Astyanax mexicanus: one gene and its partners. The protein of the gene in region 1 interacts with the protein of each later gene in a biochemical or structural test. Links are inferred from orthologs where the notes say so. Each region holds a gene or a part of one and is shown in the gene's direction. Other genes may lie near its edges.

Region 1 (7,329 bases):
ACCTGCAGCTTTATCTGTTGTATAAGACACAGTGAATACCAGTAGTTTAAGACCCTCAATCAGTTGATTCAAGTGATTCAGGATTATAAAGGTAAAACTACATTAATAAAAGAAAAAAAACATTACCTTAGGCAATGTAGACTGACTGTTCTTGCCCTTAGTAACAACTACACAGCTGTATCAGACACAGGAATAGTTAATTTCCTCAATTAAATTATTTAAATGTTTGGGGTTCATCAATGTAAACGTGCTTGACTAAAAGTAAGTAACTACATGACCTCAGGCAATGTAAGCCAGGTACAGCTGTATCTGTTGTTTCAGCCACAAGGAATAGTTAATCTCCTCAATAAAATGATGAAGAGAACAAGGTTTTTTAAAAGTAAACTACATAAACAAAACTACAAGTAACAACATGACCTCAGGCAATAGGCTAACTATTTTTGACCATAGAAACAGCTACAGATACAGTTATTTAAGTTGTTTCAGATGTAGAAATAGTTAGTCTCTTCAATCAAATGAATCAAGTGAAGGTGATTTATAACGGAAAATATAAAATGAGTTATTCAGAAATATACACTATATGGACCAAATTATTGGGACACCAGGAGATGCATTGTTTCGTTCAAAATCAAGGTCTTTAATAAATAGTTTATTGTAACTATGAACTGTCTCTAATATCCATAAAAGGCTAGAATGAAATAGAATGAAAGTTGGCCCGCTGTTAAGCAGGTTTTTATAATGTGAGATTCAAAGTTTGAACGCTAGGTGTAAGAAACGGGCCAAAGAGTCTAAAAGCGGCGAGAGTGAAGTTGTAGCGCAGAAAAACGTGCCAAACAGTCTAAAAGCGGAGACAGTGCGCATTTCTAGCGCCGAAAAACGGGCCAAAGAGTCTAAAAGCGGAGAGGATGCGCAGTTGTAGCGAAGGAAAACGGGTCAAAGAGTCTAAAAGCGGAGAGAGTGCTCAGTTTTAGAGGAGAAACACTAGGGCTGGCCCGAATAGCGTTTTTTGAGCTCCGGATATTCGGCACTGATTCGAAGCGAATATTCGAATATTCGTTTTTAAAAAAAGAGGTAAAAAAAAAAAGCAAATCACGGCCCCTTTAATCCACTGAAAAATGTTCAATTTGCTCTGACCGACGAGACATATTCACCCCGGATTTTTGGTGTTTTTATCCCGGATTTTTGTGTTTTCACCCCATATTTTTTCTGTGTTTTTAGCCCAGATTTCTTTGTGTTTTCATCCCGGAATTTCTGCTGCCCCACACCGAGGCTGCTGCTGCACGGTTTCTCCGCTGCGCAAGCCAGCCCAGTAAATTGCTGTTTGTGTTTTCACACTTAGGCTATTTGCTTAAAAAAACAAACAAAAAAAACGTTTGTTCAGGAAGTATTTTATATTCTTAAACATTGTTGATTATATTAGAGGACAGTCATTGTAAACTGTACTTGGTCTATTTCAGTTAAAGGATTGTGCAGGGCATATTACTGATTTTGTATTTTTGCACTTGGGCTATAAGCTCAATATTAAATATTTCGTTTGTTTAGAAATTATTTTATATTTTTAAACCATGTTAAATTATATTAGAGTAGAGGAAAGTCATTGTTAATGACGTTATTGTACTTGGTCTATTTCGGTTTAAGGATTGTGCAGGGCATAGCCGTATTACTGATTTTGTATTTTTGCACTTGGGCTATAAGCTCAATATTAAATATTTCGTTTGCTTAGAAATTATTTTATATTTTTAAACCATTTTAAATTATATTAGATAAGAGGAAATTCGTTCAGACATCATTTTTGTAGGCCAGGCTTTTGTAACCGATTTAGCCCCTACTGTTGCCACATTACCCCTTACGTTTTATTATATAAATCAGTTTCGAAGAGCCTGCATTTTTTTTTATCATGTATAATAGAGGTCTGCGCGAGACTGATTTTTAAACCCACTCTTCCACGCTCCCGCGTTTCTGTCTCGTTACCGCTCCGCAAAAAAATTGCTTCTTTTAATCCCGCGCCCGCCCGCCACATACACATTTCTGCCGCTCCCGCCCCGCGTTCCTAATATAAATTAAATAAACTACATTTAATGCTTCAAATTTACTTATATATTTATTAAAACAGCAGCGCTGAATAGTGTGGTCCCGTTCCTTACCCCAGTCCAAACACCATCGGTGTGTGCGTGTGTGTCGGTCCATCCTGCGCGTTGAGAGTTTTCTTTAGGTTTTTTTTTTTACAATTATTACAGTTTTCTTAACTATTTATTAATTTGCTCCCGCATCGTCTGGATTAAACTCCCGCTCCAGCCAATAACAGTTCAGTTCTGTCCCGCGCGCAAGATATTCTGACGGGACCCGCGAGAACAGAAGTGGTTAGAGTGAGGTGGAACTCTGGAAAGGAGAAAAAAAACGAATATCCGAATACCAAAATTAAAAACCGAATACCTACTCAACGAACGAATATCCGAATACCCGAATATTCGGGTCCAGCCCTAAGAAACACGGGCCAAAAAGTCTAAAAGCGGAGAGGGTGCGCAGTTGTAGCACAGAAATCGGGCCAAAGAGTCTAAAAGCGGAGACAGTGCGCATTTCTAGCGCAGAAAAATGGGCCAAAGAGTCTAAAAGCGGAGAGGATGCGCAGTTGTAGCGCAAGAAAACGGGCCAAAGGGTCTAAAAGCGGAGAGAGTGCTCAGTTTTAGCGGAGAAAAACGGGCCAAAAAGTCTAAAAGCGAAGAGAGTGCTCAGTTTTAGCGCAGAAAAACGGGCCAAAGAGTCTAAAAGTTGCCGTAATTAAGGAGTTTAATATTAAGAGACCTCATGAAATGAAACATCAATTTGAAAAATCTTAGTTTACACAACACTGTCAAAGATAGATAAAGATAGTAAGTCAAGTAAAATGGTGTGTAAATGAAAGTAATGAGGAAAATGTATTATTTAAAGTGGTGTATTTCATTATTTGTTTTATTACAGAGTCTGTGGCCCGTGACTTCAAATATATTTCTTCTTTCTGGCCCCCAACAGAAAAAGTTTGAACACCCCTGCTTTAGGATGTTGGATGGTTGGATGGCTTTCCATCATTCAACACAGTTCCACTCTCCCACAGCTCAATCCTGGGGGCTTTATATTCCTCCACTTCATTTCTGGCATTTGGCATGATGTCAGTAAATTCAGAGAATTTTATTCTGTTTGGCAGTACTTTTCTACAGAGACTAGACATGCTGTATGGATGCACTTTCACATCTATGTCAAAAATGAGTGTTAGTAGCGTATATTTTACATACCAGAACTGTGGATGATATATTAAATTAAGGAAGCAGACTGTTACATAGAAGGATCAAGATATTAAATTGAGGGAACAATTGAGGGACTGGACTGTTAAAATGAGGTAGTGATTTAATAAATTTGTGGAGCAGTTTGTTTGGAAATTATTTATTAAATTAAGGGAGCACACTGTTAAAACGAAGAAACATGTTACTAAATTGAGGGAACAATTTATTGAACTTAGGGACTAAACTGTTAACATGAGGTAACAATTTATTAAATTGGTGGAGAAGTTTGCTTAGGAATGATCTATTAAAATTAGGTAATGATTTGTTAAATTGATGGAGTAGTTTTTTGGGAATAATTTATTAAATTAAGGGAGCAGACTGTTAAATCAAAGAAAGTTTTTTAAATAAAAGGATACAATTTATTAAAATAAGAAACTGGACTGCTAAAATGAGGTAACAATTTATTAAATTGGTGGAGCAGTTTGTTTGGGAATGATCTATTAAATTAAGGGAACTATTTTTTAAACTATGGGGCTAAACTGTTAAAATGGGGCAATGAATTATTAAATTTGTGGAGTGGTTTGTTTGGTAATGATCTATAAAATTAAAGGAACTATTAATAAAACTAGAGTAATTGGTTACCTAAATTAATGGAACGATTTTTTTAAATTGAGGGAACACCTTATTAAACTAAGGAAAAGAATGGGAAAATTTAAGGGAACACTTTTATTGTGTTAAACTGAAGGAGTCCGTAATTAACTAAATTGAGAAAACGATACAGATAAATGAATCACATAGGAATACAATTAGTATTTCAATAACTATAATACGACATACTTTTTACCTCATTTTACCTCAGGTGGGGAGGGGACGCCCAGTCAGTCAGTCATATCAGTCGAGGCTTTTAGAGGCATTAAGCCTAAAGTACAAGTAAATGTATCCTCAGTCTTTTATTTGACAATATTCAGAAAGAACTAAAATCATCCAAACTTCTGACTCTGAGGAAACACAAGCAACACTTCCCCTCTCTGTCTGCAGGTGAGTTGATCTGACTGGTGCTTCTCCCAGTCCGTCAGCAGTAAAAGTCCCTGCGCTCGGAAATAGGAGGATCGCTGAGGATCGCTGAAGTCGCGGAAGCGAATGCCGGCGGGGCCCGTGGTGAGAGAGGCAGCTTTGGGGCGGCGAGAGGCAGGAATTGCGCTCTGACCCTGAGTCAGTCTTCCGTGTGAGAGACTCTAAGGTAAATCCAGCACGTTTTTATTCAGTTAACAGCTTTTTTCTGGTCGACACTGTCGATGGCAGGTATTAAAACGTTGGTTAGACAGCTGAACGGTCATGTTTATCGCCTGTTAGCTTCTACGTTGCTGGCTAGCGTTAGCTTAACTCACTCCCCAGCCTGGAGTTTAATAAAAGCGTCTCCTGTCTATTTAGCTAAACCTACTCTCTTCTTGTGAGTACACGTATTAAAACTCTAACGCTAGTTTTACCAGTGACACCAGCTTAATTAGTTGGCTTATAGCTAAGCTTAGCTATCTTGATTAGCCTGTTGACATAACAACAAATTCAGAAGACTGTTAGCTAACGCTAGTTTAGCTAGCTAGCTTAGCCAGCTTAGCCAGTGAGTGGATTGGTGTCTGCAGGCAGCTTCTGCTTTTTCGAGCTTGTTGGCGTTGTTAATAAACATAGATACGTCCTCTATGTCGTATTCACTTATTAACTGTGTATTTGTGCGATTAAAACACATATTTAGTTGGTTTGGTTGTTTATTTGTCGCTAGTCGCCATTAAAAAAGCGTTTGCCCATTTAGCCTTTGGTCACTATTTTATGTGGACACTGTGTTGCTAGCATATCTAGCTTAGCTAACCATATCTAGCTAAAGCGACTATTAAGTAGAGGTGGATAAGCCAGCTTTAGAAAGTAAAAATCCATCCCAGGTTTTTGTACCAACTCCCTGGGCGGTTCAGCTGCAACAGAGCCGCCCAGGCAGTTGGTACAAAACTCTGGGAGGGATTCTTACTTTCTGGAGCTGGCTTACCCACCCCTTCTATTGAGGTAACGTTAGCGTTATGTTAGCTAGCTTAGCTATGCTTCTAAGAGAAAGCTTTTGCCTTTTATAGTTTGTTTGTTTGTAAGCATGTCGCTAATGTCATATATTTTAGAGGTTAATTGTGTTTCTAAACATGACAAAAAAGTCCTAAAAGTGAGCTTATGAGACATGGGTTTGTGTTGGGTAGGGTTCGCTAACTAGCTAACCCAACCTAACGTTATGTGATTATTGTTGGAGATGTGTTTGGGGTTAAGCTAGCTAGCTATTTAGCTATTTTGTTGCTGTAATTTAATAGCTAAGCTAAGCTTGTTAGTTAAGTTAGCCTAGTAAGTTGAGTTATACTCATCTTATGCAGCAGGATCAGAGCTCAAGTTTTAAATGTCCCATTTAACTAGCCAGCCAATCTGCTTAGCTTAGCTATCAAATGGAGGAGGAGTGGTCATGCACCTTAGTTAACCATTTCCATCTTAAGATACATTTTTAATCAAAGAGTCCATGTTCTTATGTTAAAGGGAAGCTCTAGTACTGGGAATATGTAAAATTAGGTGCGTGTCACACAGAAATCGAAAGTCAGCTAATTCTCAAGCTAAACCAGACCAGCCACAGTAGCTGGCTAGCCAGCTGAGTCATTGCTGTAGCCTTCACTTTGAGTTTCCTGTGGCCTACGCCTGTCTGAACTTGTCTCATAAAGTCAAATAACTGATATGAAGACCTGGTTTGTGGTCAGTCGTGTTAACTAGAGTTAGTAAGTGTTTTGGGCTGAGTCATAGTGATAAAAGGTTATACCACTGCCTCTGTTGGGTTGTTCTGATGGAGCTTCATTTTTTTTAATGCTGTTTCTTAACCTTTGATACCCAGTAAGGATTTAGCTATGTGACCTGACATAACACAAGGCTGACCATGTTATATAGCTAAGTTAGCACAGGGGTGGACTTTTGCTCTCTAGCATTTTCGAATAGGCTACACATGATGGTGTCTTGAGGTTGATCTTCGCATGTTTTTATCACTTTCACAGTGATGGTTTGACACCTCATGGCTGAAGCTGTGGCTTGACATGTGATGACTGATGTGGAGAGTAGTTTTTTCTCAGCTAAGAGCAGTTTCTAAAGGTTTATTTGTGGCTCAGGTAGTGCTGTGTGTTCTGGGCATATTGTTGATGTTAAGATTTGTATTGTATAGGGCCTTTTTATTTAAAAAACACTTGTACCTTACAGGACAGAACAATTGGATAATAAAATCAAACCCCTGACCCACTCAAATTCAATTCAGTTCAATTTTATTTATATAGAGGTTTTTACAACAAAAGTTGTCACAAAGCTGCTTTACAGAGAAAACAGGTCCATGCCTCTTGTGATTTGAGCACTACAGAGATGCCAATAATTGTGATGAAACCTTAAGTGGAACCAAGACCCGCTCAGTACAAACATATAACAACAAAACAACAGCACAGAGAGAACAGGGCATCTCAATACATGTGAAAGAGATGGTAAAGAAAATAGAAAGAGAAAAAAGCTGGAGGTTGTGTAATAATTCTGCTGAATAGAAGGACAGGGCTGAACCACAAATCGCCATCAAACACAGTATGATTTTCTAAGAACATAAACATAGGGCAACCAAAAACCTTTTTTTTATGTTTTTTTGATGATGTAAATCAGGACTCCAAGGTTAAAAAAATAAATCAATAATCCAATCAAAATCAGATTTCTAAAGTTATTGCCCACCTCTAACCCAAGCCAAGATTTTCTGCTGTTATCAAGCCTTCCATATCAATACACTATCTCTATCTGTGCAATATCAATACTGCCAAAGCCAGTATCATGACAATGATTAACTGTCAATAAATTTTGCACTACTACACTCCTAAAAATAAAGGTGCTTCACGTAGTTCTTTGAGCAGTGCCCTTAGAGAACCTCTTATTGTCCCATAAAGAACCACAGGATATATTCTTTAACTTTGTTAAAATGAGATAAACAAAAACATGTATTAAATTTACTTCCCTTTTTATGGCATAGTTTAAAGGACCA
Region 2 (7,974 bases), on another chromosome or scaffold:
CGGGGGGTGAAATTAGATCTCTCTCGGGCGGTCCAGTGAGGAGTCCAGACGCATGTCTCTCAGGCAGTCCGATACAGTGCGGAGTCCAAACGGATCTCTCTCAGGCGGACCGGTACGGCATGGAGTCCGTGCAGAGCAAGGGTGTTGAAAATAGAATCTTCAGGCGGTCCGTTACGGAGCGCAGTCTGCCTGGAGCCCGGGGGTAAAGCAAGATCTCTCTTGGGCAGTCCGCTACAGAGCGGAGTCCATTTGCAGCACAGTGTCTGACATGGCATGAAGTTAGCGTGGAGCACAGGTGGTGAAGGTAGATCTCTCTCAGGTCCAGCACGGCACACAGTCTGCAGGGAGCACGGGGGGTGAAGCTAGATCTGGCTCAGGCTGTCCAGTACGGTGCGGAGTCCACACAGAGCATGAGTGGTGAAGCTAGATCTCTCTCAGGCGGTCCGGTATGTCGCGGAGTCCGCACGGATCTCTCTCAGGCAGTTCGAAACAGTGCAGAGTCTGCACGGAGCAGGGGGGGTGATAACGCGGGGTGAAGCTAAATCTCTCTCAGGTGGTCCGGTACGGCGCAGAGACCGTACGGAGCATGGGGGTGAAGCTAGATCTCTCTCAGGCTGTCCGGTACAGCGCGGAGACCGCATGGAGCACAGAGGTGAAGCTAGATCTCTCTCTGGTACAGTGCAGAGTCTGTGTGGAGCACAGGGGTGAAACTACCCAGATAGCAAGTGTAAGTTGGCTCAACGTCATTGTTTACGTTGGTTTGACGTTGGGTGTCAACCAATATTTGACGTCTCAGTGCGGTTTAAAGTGACAGTGTTTGTAAACAGTAATTATGTTGGGCGTCAACCAATGTTTGATGTTTGGCCTAGGTTGGCCTAATGTTGGCTTCTGACCAGTTAACATTAGCAAGACAAGGGCTTTGTAAACCTTTATATAGTAAAATCTATTAGCCCACAAATATGTATAACTGAATGTAAAAAGAATGTTACGTATTAAATAACCATCAAGAATGTGAAAAAAACAACAATAAATGATTGCTAAAATAATTTACTGAATGTATTTTGAAGTGGAAAAAACATGTATGTGATACATAACTAACACTAATATAAAAAAAACCAGTGGACATGGAGTCAGTCACTGAAAGAGAAAAAGAAGACTATTCTAAATGAATTATTTACATTTTAAAATTATACATATTTATTGCTAGTTAGTGCAAAGTAGTTTAAAAGCCAAGTAATAATTACATCAAGCTGAAATATTTTGCCTTCCTTCTACAAAATGTATTTCTGTTAATTTGATTTAAAAATAAATAAATAAACAGAAAGAGATTATGTAGAAGGAATGTTACATATTTAACTTGATGTAACTATTGCTTGGCTTGGCTCTATATATATATATTCCAACATTTTCGGCCACAACTGTATATACTGTATACTTTAAAATATATTTTGAATAACAGCATTATATTATAAATTATTATATATTATCTTAATTTAACCTTACCCCGCTACATTTGAGTTTATCCAACTGCGTTTAGGTGAATTCAGCTTCAACTAATTTAAATATGAACACACACAAGCCTGAATTAACGGTCGTTTTTCCCTGCGTGTAAATGACCACGCGCTTCAGAATCTCAGCATTTGTTTCATGTACAGCCTGTGCATGGTTTAAAGCACATGTGTCAAACACAAGGCCCGTCCTTTTATGTGGCCCGCGAGAGCTTGTAAAATGTTAGTGTCTATAATAAATAGGTCAGAAGCGTGCTTTGACCAAAAACTACATTTCCTACAATGCTTGTCGATTGTGTTACCCGCGAAGTTACGGCTTACTGCCACTACACGGCAGTGTAGTCATTGATGTGGAAACCCTGCCAGAGGGAAGGCGTAACTTCGCGGGTGTAATTGAGACATACAAATGTTTATCCCATAATGTCCAGAAAAAGAAAAGTTGTCACATGTTCAAAAATCTGTCACATGTTCTTAACAGCTCACAATTTTTTATTTTATATTTATTAAGGCTTATTTCAATATCAAACGTTTTGATCAAAGTTAATATAACTTGATGTCATTATATTCACTTGAATAGTTTGGTTCTTGATTGATGGAGTTTTTGGATTTCATAACATGACAAATTAAAAGGATTTATGTTAATAGAGCAACAAGCAAACATTTTTTCCATGCAACTGTAATATTTGATTGAATAAATAATATATTGAGAGTTATTTAACATTAAGGAGTAATTACATTCATTTTATATTACATTTGGTTACATTTTATTACATTTCTAAGTTACATCTGGCCCTCAGAGGACAGCCAATATGCCAATGTGGCCCTTGGCTAAAATGAGTTTGACACCCCTGGTTTAAAGGCTTAGACTTCACCTGTGACAGCTGAAGTGCTCCGTGTACACAACACACACACACACACAAACAAGATGGGAGTCAAAGTGCCAACGTTGTTTTGGATGCACACACCTGTTTTGGAGCATGACTGGAACACGGCAAGCTGCGGTGTGTGTGTGTTCTGTGCCCTGTGTGTCTGTCTGTGGGTTTTTGTTTGTTTCCGTGAACACGAGCCATGGAGGAGCCATGATCCAATATTCGTGTGTGAGACTTGACAGTTTGGGAATAAACTAAAGACCAAAGTGAGACTGACATTGGAAAAACGTTGGCATTTTGACGCCGACCTCCGCTGCTTAACGACCTTTATCCAACGTTCTAAAAATACTGCCAACCACAGACCAACGTTGCTCTGACGTCGAATTTCTACGTGTGACATAGGCGACATTTGCCAATGTTGGGCCAAAGTACTTGCTATCTGGGTAGATCTCTCTCTGGCGGTCAAATACAGCATGATGTAACTTTAGGTCCCTCTCATGTAACATACAGTCAATATAACGCTAGATACAGGTTTAAGAAGAGTTTAGAATTGCCGTATTTCTCCTCTCTCCGCTCGCTTGTATTCTAAGTTCTCCGTCTCTCCTACTTTGTATAGATTCAGCGTCCTAAATTTGTGTCTGGCTAGGGGTGGTCGGGGCCAAGGGCGTATGAGCCACCCTATAGGGTCCTAAAACAACATTTGTGGAATTACTTTTAATTACAAGTAATCCCTTTTTTCTGTTTATTATTAGTTACATCCAAGTAAAGGTGACTTTACAACCTAAACAAGTTACTCCACATTACATTTACTATTGTTAGAAAAAAAAATATGCGTGCAATGTCTGAATTATACGGAGCCCCTAAAGGGACGTGGTGTATTTTTCTTTTTACATAGAAAGTGGTGAGCACCACTTACTAAGTCGTGGGCACCACATACTAAGTTGGAGCACCACATACTAAGTCGTGAGCACCACATACTAAGTCGCGAGCACGACTTACTAAGTCGTGAGCACCACATACTAAGTCGTGAGCACCGCATACTAAGTCGTGAGCACCACTTACTAAGTCGTGAGCACAACATACTAAGTCGTGAGCACCAGATAATATATAAAGATAATTCAGATAATTCTATAAAAATATGCCAGTTATCACCCGATAGTTAAAATAATAACAACAGATTTGGTTATTATTATTATTATTATTATTATTATTATTATTATTATTATTATTATTATTATTATGCATTGGCAGGTCAATTCTGTTGTATAGTTACATTTTCTTCAATCTTTAAAAAGAAACATATTAGCATTGGATCCTGTGCTTTAAATTTTTATGCACTTCTATAATGGAAAACACACAATTTTAGGGCAGAGACCAGGATTAAGAAACTGCTTTAAACTACAGACATAAAGTACTGGACTAAATTCTGGCCATCCACAACATCCAGCTAGCTAACTAGCTTTTTTTCCCATTATAGTATACAGTAAGTCCTGTAATCCTAAATGAATGAACACAAATTGAAAATGAAATAGTGATTAGCTGATAAGGTACATCAGGGCAAGCTGAACATTACATAGTTTATTTTTTCCTTAAACCTTGAATACCTATCTATCTAATTCCAAAGTTAAACAAATCCACCTGTCTCTAATATCCCCCCGGTTCCTATGCCAATGTTCGGGGCAGACTACTCTCTGTGGTGTTTTGAAATTGGACTGCTGTGATTATTTTACGTGACTTAAAGGGTTTGGAGTTGCCTAGTCAAAGTCTGGTTGATATGCTGTGGTATGACCTTAAACAGAAAATTTTTGCTCGAAAACCTTCCAGTGTGTCTGAATTCTGAAAAGAAGAGTGGACAAAATTTCCTCCACAGAGATGTGAAAGACTCCTTGCCAGTTATTTGTAAAGCTTGATTGCAGTTGCTGCCACCAATCAAGTTATTAGGTCAAGAGGGCAAATACTTTTTCACACAGGGCTAGATTGGATTGGAATTTTTTTCCCTATAGTAAATACAATTATCATTCAATTCATTCATCATTTTTTATATTTACTCTTATCTTAATCTGATATTAACGTTTGTTTGATAATTGGAAAAATCTCAGTATGACAAAAAAGCAAAAACAAAAGAAATCTTTAGATGGGGAAAATACTTCTTCACGCTACTGTATGCACTGTTTAATTATTACATTGATTTTGAAGTTTTTGTTAATGTTTTTCAAGTAAATTGCCTTAAATATGTTGTTTCAATTCATGTATTTAGTTAGCAGTCATTATCCTATAAGAAGTGCAGATTAACATAGAACACATTTTGTTGGCAATTCTGCCTGATCGCAGTGTCCCTTCCGAGCTGCCGTATCAAAATCTTTAGATGGGGAAAATACTTCTTCACGCTACTGTATATGCACTGTTTAATTATTACATTGATTTTGAAGTTTTTGTTAATGTTTTTCAAGTAAATTGCCTTAAATATGTTGTTTCAATTCATGTATTTAGTTAGCAGTCATTATCCTATAAGAAGTGCAGATTAACATAGAACACATTTTGTTGGCAATTCTGCCTGATCGCAGTGTCCCTTCCGAGCTGCCGTATCAACTGAACGTGGGTCACATGACCCACCGTGTGATGAGGCTGCGCTGCTGCTGCTGTCGAGCTGAGTTTCACCTCCTGCAACTTCACACACTCTTACACGCCCCAACACACATTCTCCCATTCCCCGGAGCCGCAGCGGACTGCGGTAAGACCCCGCCGCGGCTCTGAGTGACTGTACGCCGGTGTAATTGCGTGTTTAAATTGTGCGGAGGCTCCTTCCGCCGCGGCTCTGCTGCTGTGTTATGCTGTAACGGGGGTTATAACAGTATCAGCTCCGACACAGTGCCGTTACTGAAGGTTTTTTACTGTCTCTAAAACGTTTAACCGCTATAATGTACTATCCTACAATCTCTCAGGACTGTCGGAACAGTCCGAGCTCATTTATTATCATTATAATACAGCGTTCATACACGCCCAGTTAACCTGCACGCAGCTAGCTAGGTTAGTTGGCTAACGTTAGCAAGCTAAGCTAACCGTTTAAGCTTTTGTTAACGCGTTATAAATCTCATCGGGTATTAATCGTTAGCTAACTAACGTAGCTAACTATATTAGTACACACCGTCTGTCGTTCTAAATAAGACTTAGAGTACCAGTAATTCGAAAACACCTTAAATTCTGTGTTTTTTAAATGTTCTGTATTGTATATTAATACCAAAGTCATCTAAACATCTGAAATTATTTAGTAAACAAAAAAGTGTTAAACAAACCAGAATATGTTTTAGATTTTTATTTTTTTTAAAGAAGCACCTCTTGCTTATTTGACTATCTCTGCATTTTCTGTGTTTCTATAAATAAATAAGTAAACAGGAGAAAAAGAAACATGATATTCAGATGTTTTATGAGTAAATACTGATCCTGAATGCTGAAGCTGTAAGGTTTAACACTGATTGATAGAGAAGACAAAAGAAGAGATTAGCAGGGTCTGGTCTTAAACAACAGTAGAGATGAATATAGACTCCTTTGTGTGTGCTGTAACTAATTATTAATGATACCTAATTACTAACATATTTACTGTATTTCTCTTTTCAGAGTGATGGAGAAGGTCTGGAGTGTGTGCTGCCTTCAGTCAGATATGCTATGAGCTTTTGGATATCACCCATTGTGCCATAGTACACCCAGCACATTTGTTCAACCCTTGACCCATGGCCTCTAGTTACCCTCCTCCGTTTGAAGGCTCAGCTGAGGTAAAGGAGGGCTTCCTTTGCCCTCTTTGTCTGAAGGACCTGCAGTCTTTCTATCAGCTGCAGGACCACTATGAGGAGGAGCACTCTGGAGACAGCCACCATGTTGGAGGACAAATAAAGAGTAAGTGCTTTTTAATACATTACCTTGGTTAAGTGGTTCAATCAATGCTTGACTTGGCCAACAGATTTTAGTGTTACAATACCAAAATTATGATATTTGATAAGATACTCCTCTAAATATCTCTACGTATTTCAAAGCAAAATCCAAAAATGTCAGAAATTAAGCTATTTTTTGTTTTTTAAATTTATAATTAAAAAAGGAAAAAAAACATAAAGATGAATACATTAAGAATAAACATCATTGTTAACATCTTTATTTATTTATTTTTCCTTTTCTCTTTAGTAAGAACATAATAGGTCTTTGAAATATCTTTGATAGTTAACTTTGTATTTGCAAGTAGAACTCACTGATTAATCTTTTAATGATATTATGGCATTATACATCTATGGTAATCGCAATTCCTAGCAATAGAAATTCGTATTATATATGAGCCATGATTAAATTTACTAGTACAGCTGAGAGTGCCTGATTTTTATTATTATTTTTAGTTTTTCTTAAAGTTAAGGTACAGGAAGTTTGGGCCAGTCCAATTGTATAGAGAGCCCTATTAGTGGTTATTTAAAAAAAATAAAAAACAAAAAAAAACATAGTTATTAGCCTACTGAAAAAGACACAAAAACACTCCCACTCCTCTGAGTTATTTTAGAGGATATAAGCATGATGTAATTGTTTTCTATAATATTCAATAAAGGAATTCTCAGAATTATTAAAACAAGTCTGCAGTTCTGTGTAGAAGATGCTTTGCTATTTGGAGCTGTTTCTCGTCTTTCTCGTCTGGTCTGCAGGTATAAAACATACTTAAGAGACGGGTATTGATGTTCATGGCTTATCTGACTGTCAGATTCGTATGCTAAATAATTCCATATTTGGCTTTATGCGTGTACTTTATGTAGAAACTGAGGACTGTCGGGAAAAACGTTGGTATTACGCTGTGTTCTGTGCAAACACACTGCCCCCGGTGGCACTCCTATTTAAAAATATTCTCATTCTTACCAGTACCAGTACTGCCGACCTCACTCGAAATTCCATAATTCATGTTACCAAGCTGGCTTTACTCACAAGATAAACACCTTACAATTTAAACCAATGTGGGTCTTCCCAAGTTGTCCCCTGAGGTACTCTTACTTTTGTTGTGATTTTTTTTTTTTTTTGTAATGTGGTAAAGCCAGAGGCTGCGGTCTGAGTTCTCGTTTGATAAAATAAACAAGTCTGAAGCTTGTTTTCGGTACATTTATACTTCTGACTGCCACTACTTCCACTACCAGTCATTACAGTACCAGCACAACTGGTGCACTATTCTATTATAGGAATCACTTTGATATATTTTCTATGTTGTCACTCAGGTTTAGTGCAGAAGGCAAAGAAGGCCAAAGACAAGCTTCTGAAACGGGATGGAGACGAGAGAACTGAGACCAGCTATGAGTCTTTCTACTGTGGAGGAGTGGACCCCTACATGTGGGAGCCTCAGGAACTGGGTGAGACTGAGGGAATTACTGCTAATGACAGAGCACAATATACCTGGCACATTGTAATTGGAGAACTTTGTATTTCTCTGATACCGATAGAAACGTTGGACTGATAATATCAGAAAAGGAAAAAATAAAAAAAAAAGTCTGAATGAATGAATTCACAATGTCACAAACTTATTTGTAGCTGAAACTATTGCATAGTCATCAGTTGACATTTATTATTTCAGTATTGTCTTT
Region 3 (6,998 bases), on another chromosome or scaffold:
CTGTGCACCACACACAGGAATTTCTCTTTGGACTGGAAAAAGACTCTTTTTGCATGTATTGTTTCCATGTTTACTATTTGAGAAATGTTTTTTAAATCGTTGAGAAATCAGAGGAGAGCCTGCCTCTGACTTTTGCCTCAAGCTTGTAGTGTGTATAGATTTTCATTTTTCTGCAAGACAGTTTGACACAGCCAAACAAGAGGATGTTGGAATTGAGCTGAAAGTGAAAGCTACAGTGACACTGGTGGACATTTCGGATCGTGATCTGTGGATGGAATTACGAAGAGGTAAAGAGAAAGAGCTGAGATGACTGCTGGATTTATAGTGTTATTTATTCATGGTTTGAGTGGTGGTTTAAAAAAATGAATCTTTAGATAAGAACAGGATAATAAAGATGTGCAAAAAAATACTTGATGTACAAATTCACAACCAAATTGCCAAAAAATGATTTTTTTTTTAAGCTATTTTCTTCCGAAAAATTCTGAAAGTTCATTATTATTTGACTGAGCTTGGTGCCTTTAAAAGCAGTCAACACTCTTACGCATCCTCAAGTTCACTGGGATGTGCCTCTGATTGCTTTAGAAGACTTTAGTGCTATTTTTTGCCTATGTTCTAAATCTAAAATGCTGTAAGTTGTTTTCACGGGTTGATCTTAAATGTGAACTCAACCTATTAAACAGCTGTTTATTAACTGCTTTCTGTGTGTCCCAACAATCTTGAAACCTATTTAATGCTGGCGACTGTGCCTCAACTTTTGTTGTTATTGTTTATAAATATCTTCTCAACAGCCCTGGATCATTGAATGGTAAAAGACAATTGAGGCAAGAAAGCTTTTGATCTTCAAATTCTTTAAGTATTGTCATTATGCTTATCCACTTGTACAGTATAATACAATGATCTCTGCATATTCCAGCTGGGAAAACTAGGATCAGAGTGAAGGGCCTTTCCTACAGTAGCATTTGAGTGAACCTGGGTCTAGAACCAGTAACCCAGCATTCTGGTGACTGAGCCACCAATGCAGTCAGTTAAGGCAATGACTGAACATTAAATTGGGTCCCTGCCTGGGTTATTTGGCTCTTTGCTGTGGTGGGAAATATGTTTAATGTGGTTATTGTGAATGAAAATGCAACCAAGGCAACCAAAATATATTATTTCCAAGCTGCTAACCTTGGGTTAAACAATGAACATTTGTATTAACATTTTACCTGAAACTGCCAAAAACTGCCATATGTCATTTCCACCTTTCATTTTGCTAATGACCTTAATAAATGAAAACTACTACTCTCTACATGATACACCTGTGATTGACATTTACCTAGAATTCACATTGTATTTCTAATAAATGATAATGAAATATAAAGACATTGATGACTTCAATTGCAAAATGTTCATTTATACTCTATACAATTATTGGCAGTTTTTAGTAAAATATGTTTTTTTTTCTAGTTAGGGGGTGTCCTGCCCATTATATGTTGTGACTACAGCCATGATTATTAGTCCTACAAATGACTGAAGACAAATTTCACCAATCATGTCTTCACTAATGCATTGGATTTTGATTTTGTCTTCACTGGTTTTTATTGGATAAATAAATGCTGTATATGCACTTGTGGTTGAGAAAGAAAGGATATATGATGTAGATACCAATGTATGCAGTCTTTGTATGCAATATTCAGGCTACAGATGTTATACGAAAAATCTATGGTCATCTGTGTTTGAGGAAGATTAGGTCAAATTAGGTCCTTCAGTTTGGGCAATAAGTGCCCAAAAAACACCTTACTAATAATTCAAATGTCTGGTAGACCTCTTATTAATATTCTGAAAATAATACATTAGCACTAACATTAATACAGTGGAACTTTTTTGTTGTTGTTCCAGATAAAAGGTGGGTCCCGATAAAACCACTTTGAAGAGCCGTAACAGTAGTTACACTACAACTGGTAGACTACAGTCACACAGGTAGCTATGACTTCCAGAAAGCCCAGAAGAAGAGGTTTTTTTTCTCATGAATTCTGTTCCACCCACTGGTTAATTCCTCTTTCAGTTCCTGATTATGCTGCTGGTTAAACTGATGTATTTAGCTCTTCAATTCTGTTCTTAAAGTCAGAACAAAACAGAAGAGGAGCAAGTTGGATTAAATCTAAACAGATTTCCATTCATCTACGTCTCTGTTTCTTCGTGATACCTGGAATAATCACTAGGTAAGAGGCAAGGATACCTCCAGGACCAGATGCCAGTGCAACACAGGGTACTACCTACTCATTCATTCACACTCAAGTTGGTGGCAATTTGACTACAATTTGTGTTTTTGATAGTTGCAAATGGAAATGTAACAACTGTGTGGCAACAAGTCAGATTCGATTTAATATTTTTACATTTATTCGAAAATTACTTAATTGTGAAACTGCAACGACATGCGAATGCCATGATAATTCCAGACTTTACATATTGTCTGACAAGTTGGGTATAGGCTAACAAATCTACACTGAAGCCACTTGATATTTAAACACACTCTTGAGTGTGTTTGCCCACTCTTGGTATTTTAATCTTAGTGGCTTCATGAGGTAGAGTCACCTGAAATAGTTTTCTCAGCGTCTTGAAGGAGTTCCTGGGGGTCCTGAATAATAGTTGCTGCTTTTTTCTTCGTGCTGTGAAGCTTCAGCTCATCCCAAATCAGCTCAAATCACCATCTCAGCTGATACGGTTTAGGTCACATGATACTAAATAATGTGTCCCTAATTTTCATGTCTTTGATTTTAATCTACAAAATAAATAAATGTAAAATAAAATATAAAAAGAAATATAAAATAATAAATAATAAAATAAATAAAAAATAAAATAAATAATACAATTAAATAATACAAATATATATATAGAAAAAAAACATTGGATGAGAGAATGTGTCCAAACTGTTGGGATTTGAAATTGAATGGCAGTTCCTCCTCACTGTCTGAAATGCTTTTCTGGGGGAGAAATCTTTGTGTTTGTGTCCTTAATGTTCAAAGCTGTTTTACACCACAAAATAAGCTTTTTGGTTAGAGGATAAATTCTGGTACTTCATATTTGCGGTCTTGTAAAGCAGGCCTCGCTGTTTCTCCATTTCTCCCTGTAATAAATAACTGGAATTGAATGCTGTCAACAACTGGATCAATTTTACTGTTGCTTCAGAAGAGTCCACCTCCTCCTCCATACGACCCGGTAGGTGGTGGACATGTGTGGTCTGGCAAGAGTGGAAAATACCATCGTGTGTGATGAGCAGAAGTGGGTAACCCTGGGACCTGGGTTACCCACCTCTAGTAATGAGTGACTACAGATGAATGTGCTTCTATTGGAGGGAGGATTGGATTTTAGAAATAGGCAAATCAATAGTTATCAAATAATAACCGCTGAACTTTGTGTAACATTGTTCATTGTGTTCATTATGTTTGTGCAGAACCAAGCTAATTTATTTTGTACATTAGTATGTCCCTCTAAAACGGTTGCAATTTCTCATGTGGCCTCTTGGGAAAATGAATTGCCCACCCCTGGTCTAAAATGGTCAGTGTAACATTTATTAGTTTAATTTTCTGACTGTACCAAGCTTAAATAAAAAATAAGGTATAAAACTTCATATTTTTTCCATTTTGTTTAGTGAAGAGTTAATTCACTAAAGTCATTATTTAGTTTTTTTTTATTTCAGCCTTACACAAACATAATTTCGAGAAAAAAATAAAAGTTTTATCTTCTCTTGATAATCATATTTGCCCATTTTTGTGTCTTGTAACACAAAGCTGATGTTATAATCCAACTTGGATGAAAAAGTATTTCTTGTACACTGCACGACATAAAAAATGTTTTTATTTCCAATTTTCTAATTTTGCATTTTTTTCTCAAACGGTCAGAAAATTAAGCTGCTAAATGTTACACTGACCTGAAATATCAGTTTTTAACCGAAATCCTGCCTGAGTGCCGAGTCCCTCCTCCCTCCTCCACGCAGCTCCGCAGACCCGCCTACCCACTCATGTGCTGCTGGTTGACGCTGCGGTGCGCTGCGCTCCGGGCAGGTGGAAGGAAACACCCGAGAATAACATTATACACCAGCGGAGAAAGACCTCCTGACTCGTGACAGTTTAAACTACAGAAAAACAACGAAACCAAAATGTTCAGACGAATATTACAGATGGTAAGAATAAAGGAGAATCCTGCAACGAGGCTGCATCAGTAGCTATGGCTTTAGTATGTTTAGCTAGCTGGCTAAGCTAGGCTAGTTTTGCTAACGTAGCGGCCGTCAGTGGAGGCTTGAATGGAGGCCTGTATTAAAAAGGCAGTAAGAAATAGCTAAGCTAGCTAAGCAGGGGTGTGTCTATTAAACTGCTATTTTAAAACATATATAGTAGGTCAGTAGCTAAATGTAGCTGCCAGACAGGGCAAAACAACGCAAAATTGCTTGTTTACTGTTATGTACTGCCCTGTAAACAGTACGTTAGCTAGCTAACTTACTAGATAGCTAGCAGGCTAGGCTAGCTAGCTTTAGCCTAGTAACTGTGACTAGCCGTGGTGCCGAAAGGCTAGTAACGCTAGCTCAAGCTATAAAGCTGTCATGGGCTCATTCTGAAAGGTTTCAACTAAATAATGTTAAGTTCACCCAGTTTATTAGTCGTGGGAGTAATATTAGTTGTTGAATTAATGAGAGAGAAGTTTGTTTCGTTGTTGTCAAGTGTTTTTCATTTATTCCAGGGGCTTGTGTAATGGTTTACTGCATTCTGTTGAATGTTGGCCACTTTCTGTTTCTGTCTGTGACTGACCAGCTTCTTCACTGTAGATTATCTAGGTTAACTACTAATGCATCTAAAAAAAATGTTATCATTCATTGAAAAGTTACATAACTACTTTAGTAATTCAGTGCAAATGGTGAAAATCATATATTATATAGATTTATTACACACACACACACACACTGATCTATTTTAAGTCTTTATTTGTTTTTTTGTTTATGATTATGGCTTATAGCTAATGAAAACCAAAAAATCAGTTTATGAGAATATTGAAATATTATCTATATAAGACCAGTTGGTACTATTGGCAAGCTTAGCAATGTGCCAAGTCCTACTGAAAAATGAAATCCACATCTCCATAAAGTTGTCAGTAAAGGGAAGCATGAAGTGCTGTAAGATTGTCCGGGAAAATACTGCACTTTTTTTGTACTTGATATAACACAGTGGACCAAGACCAGCAGATTTTCCCAGTAATTCTTGCAGCACTTCATGCTTTCCTCTACTCACAACTTTATTTAGATGCGGGATTCATTTTCCAGCAGAATTTAGCAAGATGTCCACACTACCAAAAGTACCGGTTGGTCTTATATTATATTCTTCTTTACTAAGACACTGATTTTTGGGTTTTCATTGCCTGTATGGCATAATAATCAAACATAAAAGAAATTCATGTTTATAATTTAAACAGCTTTTAAATCTTATGGCAGAAGTAATCGTTGACTTATTTAAAAAAATAAATAATCAGATTAGTCAACTACCAAAATAATCAGTAATTGCAGCCCTACTTGACTGGTCCTTTTAAGAAAAATGCAGTAGGAGATGGGTATCCGTGTGCTAAGACTTGTTTGTCTCATTGCTGGATTGGGAAGGATAAGGGTGGACCAGTATTTGGACACATTCTACTGTCATTCTATTAGAAGACTTTTTTTATTAGACATGTTGTAAAAGCAAGTTTACAGTGTTAATACAAGCAAGGAAGAGCCAAATTGTCTTAAGCACATCTTTATTGTGACAGAACACTTTAAGGGGCAATTTTACCAGATAGAAATTAAGCCTAGTTTTGGACTATGCAGCATTTGAACTGAGATTTTCCATTGAAAGGAAACCTTGTCTCTGTCAGGGAAAACAGCCTAAGTGTCTGTCCCTTGTCTCTATGTTAAAGTAATGTCTGAGGGGAGAAAGGCTACTGGCTGCTGTTAGTACAAAAGTATATTCATTACTCCTAAAATGTGTCCCGACTATTATATAATTAAGTATAGTTACAGAATGTATTTATTATTAGGTTTATTAGGTTTTAATAGCCATCTAAATAAACATTGGCTCAGACAACAGGAGATCTCTCTTGATGCCACAGCCATCTGTAGCCAAGAGTTCCGAGCACAAGAGTACAGTTGGCCTAGGATGGCCCTCTCCCACTACATCACTTGGGGAGATGTTTCGTCCCACAAGCCCATTCAGCTGTCCAGTTTTGGAAAGATAGTTGGAAAAGGAACGGTTGACTGGCACATGCTTGCCTTCTGGTTGCATTAGGAGATGGTGTTAGAAGTTACTACGTGAGCGAGAGAACTGGGGCATTACAATAATCTGAAGCCCTTTTGGAATGACTCATTTCCCTGGAAAACCAGTGGGCAAGTGTTGCATTGTTATTTTAATACAACTTACTCTTACTGCACTGACTTTGATTTAGCCTACTTGGAAAAGTGAGTGACATGCCATGTGGTGTCGTGTAATATTGTTTGAATCACCAGTGGCTGCTGTTTTCCGGTTGCTAGGGTCAGTGTTTGGTGAGGAGAAATGTATAACGCTTCTCTTAAGCAGTATTATGTTTCAAGTATATCCTCAAATGTCCCTAATCAACAGCCATGCCAAGTGCAACCATAAAGGGCACAATGCTGTCACACTATTTTTTTAAAGTTCACCTTCCGCGAAAATCCGATTTTTCTTGTTTTTTGTGGAATACAGTAGGTCTCTCCGAGTTGAATGTGTACACCTGCACATTAAACTGTTTTGCAGCCCCCATTGTCTGCAGGAGCTAAGCAAAGAAATCCCCCCTCCCCCCCTCCGAAAAACGGGTGAATTTTGAATTATCTTTCTGCCTACGTAGGCAGAAACTCACAGACCAGCCCACCTTGGCTCGAGAAACTCCCAGAGGCGGAGCTGAAGCGACGCAACATCACCGCTCATCAGTTAGGAGGTGGGAGGCAGTGAGCGGCAGAGCGGTGGAGGGGCGTCGCAGTGCTCCTA

Evidence for each region. The genes of interacting proteins can lie anywhere in the genome.
Region 2: the proteins of rab5c (region 1) and rabenosyn-5 form a complex in vitro, tested with the Homo sapiens proteins (2 studies listed by BioGRID and IntAct, with this or other methods). The link is inferred for Astyanax mexicanus from reciprocal best matches to the Homo sapiens genes RAB5C and RBSN.
Region 3: the proteins of rab5c (region 1) and eea1 form a complex in vitro, tested with the Homo sapiens proteins (2 studies listed by BioGRID and IntAct, with this or other methods). The link is inferred for Astyanax mexicanus from reciprocal best matches to the Homo sapiens genes RAB5C and EEA1.

What each region holds. Positions count from the first base shown.
Region 1 is NC_064426.1:26,224,223-26,231,551, reverse strand, and holds the start of rab5c (ras-related protein Rab-5C), read left to right. Parts: upstream 1-4,328; 5' UTR 4,329-4,497; intron 4,498-7,329. UniProt on the Homo sapiens protein: The small GTPases Rab are key regulators of intracellular membrane trafficking, from the formation of transport vesicles to their fusion with membranes.
Region 2 is NC_064419.1:14,644,896-14,652,869, reverse strand, and holds the start of rabenosyn-5, read left to right. Parts: upstream 1-4,958; 5' UTR 4,959-5,108; intron 5,109-5,992; 5' UTR 5,993-6,105; coding exon 6,106-6,268; intron 6,269-7,611; coding exon 7,612-7,743; intron 7,744-7,974. UniProt on the Homo sapiens protein: Rab4/Rab5 effector protein acting in early endocytic membrane fusion and membrane trafficking of recycling endosomes. Required for endosome fusion either homotypically or with clathrin coated vesicles.
Region 3 is NC_064416.1:21,085,723-21,092,720, forward strand, and holds the start of eea1 (early endosome antigen 1), read left to right. Parts: upstream 1-3,982; 5' UTR 3,983-4,138; coding exon 4,139-4,162; intron 4,163-6,998. UniProt on the Homo sapiens protein: Binds phospholipid vesicles containing phosphatidylinositol 3-phosphate and participates in endosomal trafficking.